Cricetulus griseus: one gene and its partner. The protein of the gene in region 2 purifies or fractionates together with the protein of the main gene of each other region. This does not show direct contact. Links are inferred from orthologs where the notes say so. Each region holds a gene or a part of one and is shown on either strand. Other genes may lie near its edges. The genes, in order: Zfyve19 and Vps4a.

Region 1 (4,344 bases), on a different chromosome or scaffold from region 2:
TGGAAAGGGATGAATTCAAGGTCCACATAGGTGAGTAGGTTGGCAGCTCCCAACAGGACTGAGTATCCACTCTTTGCTGACGCACTCAGTCCTGCTGCTTGGCACTGGTCTTTGGCTTGAGAGCAGGCCTAAGGCTCAGGAGGTAGGGGTGAGAGGCTTTACTAACTCCTGCAAAGCACATGATCATACATGTATCTGGGCTTCTGTAGGGAGCTTGCCCTAGGAAACCCTTCTCTCCCAAGCCACAACACTCACCGGTCTCACGGTGTGAGAAGGTGGTACTCTGCCCTGTAATGCTGCAAGCCGATCCTCCATTTCTCGTGTGGAAGGGATGGCGCCCTGGACTTCATCCTTCAGGGCAGCTAGCCGTGCCTCTATCTCTGCTTGTGAGGGTACTGACTCTGCAATTGGCAAGTGTTTGTAAGGGCTGGAGGCAGCTCAGTCCCAAGCCCTGCACCCTGCCTTTGAGGTCCCCCTGTACACTTAAACTCACTGGGCTTGTTTTCCTGACGGAGCCGTGCTAGGCGATCAGCGATGGCTTGGTCTTGTTGGGTCAAGCCCTGGCTCTGGGAAATGCTGGGCTTTTTCTTGGCTTCCAAGGCTGCCACACGCCTAGGAGGATATGAGGCAGACACTCTTAAGGCAAAGGGGAAGACTGAAGGCACCCATCCAAATCAATTGGGGCCTCTACAGGCAGTCTTCTGTGACCTCTATTTATGTGGTACTGCAGCCCAACCCAGCTGACCAGCTGTAGGGTATGTCTAACAGGGAAAGAGCTCCCAGATGCCTTTTCTGAGAACAGATTAATGAGCTGCTTTCAGAATCCAAGAGGGAAGCAGGAGCCCAAAGGTCTGCACCCATGTGGTCTGCAGATTGGAAGGAGAGCCCTGCTACTGGTGTCCTTGTCCTTTGCCATCCCCACTTGTCTTTTTTTCAGTACTTACTTCTTGTAGTTCTGAGGTGGCGACCACTTGGAGGTATTGTCGGGAGGCCCTCTAGAGAAGGAATTTGGTGTGAGAAGTCCCATCATGCCACCCAGCAGTGATTTCTACACCAAATACTTCCTAGGCAGACCTCTGGCCAGGGAGCACAAGGCCACAGGGCCTGGTCAGATGCTTAGTGTCACATCTGTCTGAACCCTTGCCCATGCCCATCTCTCACCTGGTCAGGACTGTGTGGCACTGCTTGCAGACTTTCTGTTGAGTGTTGCCAGCCCGAGGTACCAGAGCGTTGAAGCTAAGACAGCCGCTACAGAAGGCCCGGCCACAGTTCTTACAGCCATACTATAAGAAACACGAAGCAGGAGGATCCGTTTCTCACCCACCCCTGTTGGCTCTTCTCTGGGACTCTCTAAGCACTCACAGAAAGAAGAAATTAAAGTTGTGACCAGATGTTGGAGGAAGGAAGAGGAGTGGGATCCCCAGGGTCCAGGGAGAGATGGAGTAGAGGGCACAACAAGCCCTTGGTTTCCAGAGTCTTGTTCCGATCAGATAAAATTTCAGGCAAAACTCACATGCTTTCTGCCATTTTTAGTTTCTTACCATGGGGGTGAAGAACAAAGACAAACAAAGCTCTGTGAGTCAGGTCACTGGCTAGTCAACAAAAGAGAATCAGACAGAGTGTAGATACTGTGCTTTCTCTGCTCGGGCAAGATGGTGGGAGGTTGGGCTCAGGATAAGGGCATTAACAATAGCTTCAGTTATTAAGTGCTTAGTGTGTACCAGGCACACAGCTTGAACCTTAAAATTCATCATCTGATCCAACCTCATAATTTACACACAGTGTCATATTTGATCCTGATGCCCACATCAGTATCTCTATTCTAACAGGGGGCAGAGAGTTACCTGACTTGTTAAACTTAGGTCTTAACTGTGTAAATCAGGACAGCTGGGATTTGAACCCTGACTCCAAATGCATGCTCTGAGGTGCTCCGTCCTGCACACCATGAACTCATCCCATTTATTCCCCTCTATCTCCCCGGAAGCTTGCAAGGAGAACCTGGTAAGCCTGTGTCATGAACAAGAAAGCTTTTCCATTGTGCCCAGGGGAAAGTGGAAGCTTCGTAATACAACCTGAGAGTAACGGGCATGGTGTGATGCGCAGCGGCCCTAGGATAGTAAAGACAGAGATGGAGAAGAGAAGAGCAGAGAGAAGCAGGAGGTAGATGCTCCACTTGTTGGTAAAAAAGAAGAAAAAGGCGTAGCTTTTGGAAACTGACAGCAATAAGCTTTATAATTTATAGGGTACTTTCAGGTCCACACCTTACCAACCCCCCTTACAATTATTTCAATTTTACAATATTTCTTTGTGTGTGTGTGTGTGTGTGTGTGTGTGTGTGTGTGTGTGTGTGTAGATATGTGCATGCTATGGCACGTGTGTGGAGATCAGAGAATAACTTGAGGTAGTTCTCTCCTTCCTGGGGTTCCAACTGAGGTCATCAGGCTTAGCAGTAAGTGCATTTACCCGCAAAGCCATCTCACTGGACCTCATCATACCATAGTTTTAACCCCGAAAGCGAATGGGCATACGCCCCTCTTTACAGAAATGTTAACTGAGTTACTTCGTCAAAACTACACCACTAGAAAGAAGCAGTCAAACTGGGTCTTTGGCCTGCAAGTCCCGAGCTCTTCCCTTCGCCCCGCGTCCTTCCTTGGCCCTCCAGCTCTCTAGAACACTCGCCTCCTTCTTGAAGAGGGTGAACTTGACTGCACAGCCGTAGCACCTGCTCTCCATGGCGTCTCTCAGCGCCGCCGATTCGTAGGATCGCCTCTCACCAACGCAGTGAAGGCCTTTCCGACCCTCAGCCTAGGCAGCCCAGCCCTACACGCCCACCTGCGCCATCCAGCTGCGGCCCAGCGCGGGGAATTCTGACTCTCTCCGCTCGCCACCGCGCGGGCGGCGGCGGAGTGTGGGATGCTGGGAGTCGTAGTTCATTTTTCACGACACGCTCATCCACAGTCAGTCAAACCTGAACCGGATCACGCCGATTCCCAGGGGGCTTAGCGCCTTTGGGCCGGCTCCGAGCCAGTACCGCCTCCCCGCGCGCGCTCAGACTCCTGGGAATTGTAGTATCAGTTCGGTCAGGGCTGGAACCATGGCGGTGACCAAAGAGCTCTTACAGATGGATCTATACGCGCTGCTTGGCATTGAGGAGAAGGCGGCAGACAAAGAGGTGAGAACTCGAGAGGCACTGCGGATCTTCGGTCCTCGCGCCTGGCCGGCGCCTGGTCCCGGCTCCCTATGCTCCGCCCATATATACCGGACCAGGAGCGAGTACCGGCCTAATGCCTAAAAGGGGGGCCTGGGGCTTTTCCAGAAAGGACCTCTTTAGGGAGGGTGGCACTGAGGACTCGGAACTGTGTGACTGACTGCGCTCTCCTAGGCCACAGTGTGTGGTCGCCGGTTCGAATCTGAGAGCCGGGCCTGCTTCGTTGCGCCTGCGCAGCAGCAGTCTTACCTATGTGTGGAGATGTTTCGTTTCAGTTCCTAAACCAGTTTTTTTAGCTTCAGGTTGGTCCTGGGAGGGAAGAGAAGTTAGCTCTTTAGGTTCTTCACTCCCTTCTCAGCCTCTCCTTCTTGGATTTGGCGTTGAGACCTAGTACCGAGAGAGCTCGGTTTTCTTTTCCGCTTTTTAAATATCAGATTTTCCAGTGTTGCTCCTCCCAGCGTGTGCTACTTAGCGGGTTAAACAAGGGGAGAAGGAAGGCGGATCTTAGTGACAGAATTGTGAGGAGGACTGAAAGCCAGGCCCCCTGTTGCATGGCTCAGGTCCTGCACAGTTCAATAATACTGAGGAACACCAGCACTACATTTCACTCTCATTTAGTTCTTTCTCTGAATTCCAAAAATATGAGTCCACCTGTCTGATCTCTCCATTCGGATGTTTCACGGGAGTCCTAATCTTCCAGTATCCAAAATTGCACTTGAACTTTCCTGCCCAAACCTGTACCCTCCTTGGAATTCACTATGTTTGTAAATGCCACCACCACCTGTCCACTCAACTAGGATATTTATTTATGCATTTACTCATTTTGCATTGCTGAGAATTAAACGTAGACTCTTTTTTAGCCTGTTTTTTTTTAAGATTTTATTTATTTATTATGTATACAACATTCTGCTTCCATGTATATCTGAACACCAGAAGAGGACACCAGATCTCATAACGGATGGTTGTGAGCCACCATGTGGTTGCTGGGAATTAAACTCAAGACCTCTGGAAGAACAGTCTGGGCCATCTCTCCAGCCCCCTAAACATAGATTCTTTTACCTGTTAGGTAATGCTATACCACTGAGCTATGCTCCTAACCCCAGCCACTCTGAGTTACTCCCTTTTTATTGTTTTAT
Region 2 (4,508 bases):
ATGTCATCCAATAAAACTTTATTTATAGGCACCAAAATCTGAATTTCAAATTATGCCATGAAAGCCTAAAAGCCCTCCCTCCAAACCATTTAAACAATGTAAAAGATTGTGACATTAAGTTAAGCCAGCCAAGTCAGTCACAGAGAGCCACACATTGTATGATTTTATTTAAAGAAAATCTCAGTTGGTCAATGGCGCACACCTTTAATCCCAGCACTTGTGAGGCAGAGGCAGGCAGATCACTGAATTCAACAAAGTGAGTTCCAGGTCAGGCAGGGCTACACAGATAAATCTTGCCTCAAAAAAAAAAAAAAAAAAAAAACAACAACACACACACACACACACACACCACACACACACACACACACAAAAAAAAAAAAAAAAAAGAAAAACCAAAATACCTGAGCCAGCAAGATGGATCAGCAGGTAAAGAAAGGGGCTTGCCTGATTTCAGGACAAAGACAATCAAGTGTGAGTTGGGTGTGGTATTACACAATTTTAAGCCCAGGTCTGGGAAGACAGAAGCGGGTAGGTATTTGTGAGTTTGAGGTCAGCCTGGTCCACATAGCCACGTTCCAGCCAGGGCTACATACTGAGACCCTGTTTCAAATAAAATAAAATAGAAACCAAGCTGACAGCCCTGCCGACTAGCTTTCATAGTGCTAGAAGGTGCTATGAAGGTCCCTGGGTGAGAAAAGACATCAATAGTATCCCTAAAGTCAGCTATGTTGCTACACTACTGACCTGCCAGACAAGCTGTGCTCACTGGTGTAGCAGTGGCACAGAGGTTATGGGGGTACTTAACTATGTAGGCTTGGATCTGAGGCCTGCTCTATCTATTGGAGGAATTCAGGCCTGGTACTGAAAATCTGGTCAGAATCACATGACTTGGGAATCACAGGCCCTGGGGAAGAATCTACTGCTGCTGTTATAAAAGAAATTCCAGAGAAACAAACTGCTTATTACCAAGCCTGACAACCTGAGCTCAACAACCAGAAGGAGAGAACTGACCCCTGAAGTTATCCTCTGACCTCCCCACAGGCAGTGGAATGGGAATGGGTTTGCTGGCACTGGCATACTAGTATACACACACACACACACACACACACACACACACACACACACACACACACACACACCATATGTATACAAACACAGAATAACATTTTTAAAAAAAGTGTCTAAAATAGGCAACTCCACAGACAAGTGTGCTACATGGGACTGAATGGCTGGGGAACAATGGCTAACATCATAGTTTCTTTGGTGATGATACAAACCTCCAAAAGCATTGGATGGTAAGCTTTAAATGTATAGCACCAGTGTTTTATCTACATAAAACTGTTTCGGGGCTGGAGAGATGGCTCAGTGGTTAAGAGCACTGAAGGCTTTTCCAGAGGACCTGGGTTCAATTCCCAGCATCCACATGGTGGCTCACAACTGTAACTCCAGTTCTAGGGGACCCAGCATCCTCACACAGACATACATGTAGGCAATCGATGCACATAAAACATAAAGATAATTTTTTAAATGTTTCAAAAATGCCCGAAAACATTCTTCTCTCTCTCTCTCTCTCTCTCTCTCTCTCTCTCTCCTCTCCTCTCTTTCTTGGGGGGGGGTGTTGAGACAGGGTTTCTCTGTTTAGTATTGGCTGTTCTGGAACTCACTCTGTAGAGCAGACTGTCCTCAAACTCAGAGATCCACCTGCCTCTGCCTCACGAGTGTTGGGATTAAAGGCATGTGCCACCACAGCCCGGCACAAAAAACATTCTTGGTTCACAGGCAGTGAAACACTGGCCAGGCAGGTGGGATCCGGCTGAAGTTGGCTTAATCCCTAGTAAACAGATAAGAATTCTGCCGGTGGATGGTGGTTCTGGCTCTGGATTCCATCTAATTCCAAACCTTGTACTCCCAATTGATTCCCACTCCTGTATTTCCATTTGGAGCAGCCAGCCACCCCCCCACCCCCAACAACAGGTAAGTGAAAGCCACCCACTCTCGATGCTCTGGCTAAAGTCCCTTCCTTCATGAAGTCTTACTTGGTTCTGCCCAAGCGCTGAATTTATTTGCAAAGGCTTACGGAGCACATGATGTGCTGAACCTATGTTACAATGCTTCCTCTGAATTATTCAGTCTGGAGCCGTCTGACAACCACCCTACAAGGGCACTGCCCATTTTACTGATGAGGAAATCCAACATTCCAAGATCAAAAAACCAGGCACGCTAGTGAGTGGCAGGGCTGGGATTTAAACACAAGCCTGGGGCCTGAATGTGTTTACGCTTTTTGACAGCTCTAGAATGAGCCCTTCCTTCTTTCGGGCGGCGCCACCCAGGATCGCCCTGCATGATCTAGGGAATGAATGAGGGGTGGCTGGCTGAGAAACAGGGGGCTCGTTGGCAGAAGGTCAGGGGGCAGCCAGGGTGCGCTGCAGGAGCCAGTGAACGGCGTTCCCGGAGCGACCTGGGGAGGCGGCACCGCTGCAAGGCGGCAGTTCAGCCCCGGCTGCGCGTAGCGGGCTCGGGGCCACGCCGGTTCGCCCTGGGCCGGGGCCCGGTGGAGACATCCCTTGGACTCCGAGCATGGGAGAGGCTGCAGCACTGGTGGGACGAGGCGGCCCTATGGGGACCGCAAGGCCGGGCTCCGAGGAGGCCGCAGCCCGCCCGCTCAGCGGCCCGCAGGCCCTGCAGCCTTCGGCCTCCGCGGTCGTGCCGCGCCCACGTACCTGGAGGGTTGACGTTGTCATTTCATCTCCTGGGTTCGCCCCACACCCCGCGGCGCTGCTTGCGGCCTCGGTCCGACCCGGAGGAGCCGAGGTGGTGGGTCAGGCGCTGGGAGCCCAGCGGGTCGGCGTTCGGTGCGGGACCGACTGCCACTAGCAGCCGGAGCCTAGTCCGAGGGTGAGCGAGAAGCGCGGCCCAGAGCGGCCCAGCCAGAGCCACGCGGCTGCCACCCAGCGGCCATGACCCGGAACTGCAGGCACCTCTCCTCCAAGGAGAGGGGGCGGTCGGGGGGCGGGGCCTGGTGGGATCCGGACGAGGGACGAGGCGAAGGCCTAATAATACCTTAGTAGGAGGCGGGGCTGAGCGAGGATGAGGTTAGGGGTGGGGGCGCCTGCATGAGGGGTGGGGCCAAAGGGGGCGGGGCCTGGTGGGATCCAGATAAGAGGCGGGGCCAGACGAGGGCCACGCTGTGAGCCTTTGAACCAAAGGCTGTGCTTCCAAGATTCAGAGTGGGGCGGGTCGGAGAAGGGCGGGGCTTGGAGGACGGGGGCAGTGGGGAGGGGGTGAGTGGGAGGGGGAGGGCAGGAGGAGGGGAGGAGGGGAGGGGGAGGAGGGAGGGCAGGGACCAAGTACAATCAGGACCCCACTGGAGTTAATATCACCAGAAAAGTAAATCTAACTTCCTGGAGCTGTGTTTTCTGGCTATTTAATAGGTTATGATAATTAGTATTTACCTCATGACTTCGCCAGTTTTGTGATAGTTTTATTCTTATTGTTTTGTTTTTCGAGACAGGGTTTCCCTGCATTGCCCTAGCTCTATCTGTAGACCAGGCTGCCCTTGAACTCCCAGAGATCCGCCTGCCTCTGCCTCCCGAGTGCTGGGATTAAAGGCGTGCTAGGTTTTATTTTTAAAATTTATTTATGATGTATAGTGTTGTGTCTGCATGTGAGACTGCAGGCCAGAAGAGGGCACCAATCTCTTTACAGATGGTTGTGAGCCATCTGTTGGGAATTGAACTCAGGACCTCAGGAAGAGCAGCCAGTGCTCTTAACCTCTGTGCTAGTTTTTAAGTGTCAACCTTTCTGGCCAAAGAGGTGGCTCAGCAAGTAAAAGCAGTTGTTCACCAGGTTGGAAGGAGAGAACTGACTTCTTAGAATTGCCCTCTGAGCCCCATATTCCCCACCCACCCAAATCTATAAATGTAAATGTTTATTTCAAAATGTTAGTTAACCTTTCTCTTAGGAAACTATTATTTTGTTCGTTTTGTTTTTGTGGTACTTTTTTTAAAAGATTTTATTTATTACGTATACAACATTGTACTTCCCTGTATATCTGCACACCAGAAGAGAGTACCAGATCTCATAACAGATAGCTGTGAGCCACCATGTGGTTGCTGGGAATTGAACTCAGGACCTCTGAGCCATCTCTCCAGCCCTTTGTGATACTTTTAATTGAACTTAGGCCCTCCCCTCAGCAATACCACTGAGTTAACCCACCGCAGTGAAAAATGTTTTTTCTTCTCTCTTTTTTTTTCCAGGCACATTCTTTTAGGTGGGGGTGTTTTGTTTTTTGAGGCAGGGTTTTCTCTGTGTAACAGTCCTGGAAGTCTTGGAACTCGCTTTGTAGACCAGGCTGGCCTTGAACTCACTGAGATCCACTTGCCTCTGCCCCCCAAGGCGTCTGCCATCAACACCGGGCTTCCAGGCAGAATTCTTTTTATTATTATTATTTTAATTAGAAAGATAATTATTTAACATGTCAATCCCAGGTCCTTCTCCCTCCCCTCCTC

What was found.
Region 1: the proteins of Vps4a (region 2) and Zfyve19 purify together in Homo sapiens (affinity purification with mass spectrometry; 3 studies listed by BioGRID and IntAct, counting the BioPlex papers as one, with this or other methods). This does not show direct contact. The link is inferred for Cricetulus griseus from reciprocal best matches to the Homo sapiens genes VPS4A and ZFYVE19.

The regions. Positions count from the first base shown.
Region 1 is NC_048599.1:59,277,385-59,281,728, forward strand, and holds the start of Zfyve19 (abscission/NoCut checkpoint regulator), read right to left. Parts: upstream 2,960-4,344; 5' UTR 2,734-2,959; coding exon 2,680-2,733; intron 1,284-2,679; coding exon 1,162-1,283; intron 996-1,161; coding exon 945-995; intron 613-944; coding exon 494-612; intron 402-493; coding exon 256-401; intron 1-255. Other genes in the region: Dnajc17 (dnaJ homolog subfamily C member 17), read left to right, coding at 3,095-3,172. UniProt on the Homo sapiens protein: Key regulator of abscission step in cytokinesis: part of the cytokinesis checkpoint, a process required to delay abscission to prevent both premature resolution of intercellular chromosome bridges and accumulation of DNA damage.
Region 2 is NC_048596.1:183,344,536-183,349,043, reverse strand, and holds the start of Vps4a (vacuolar protein sorting-associated protein 4A), read right to left. Parts: upstream 2,920-4,508; 5' UTR 2,742-2,919; coding exon 2,721-2,741; intron 1-2,720. UniProt on the Homo sapiens protein: Involved in late steps of the endosomal multivesicular bodies (MVB) pathway. Recognizes membrane-associated ESCRT-III assemblies and catalyzes their disassembly, possibly in combination with membrane fission.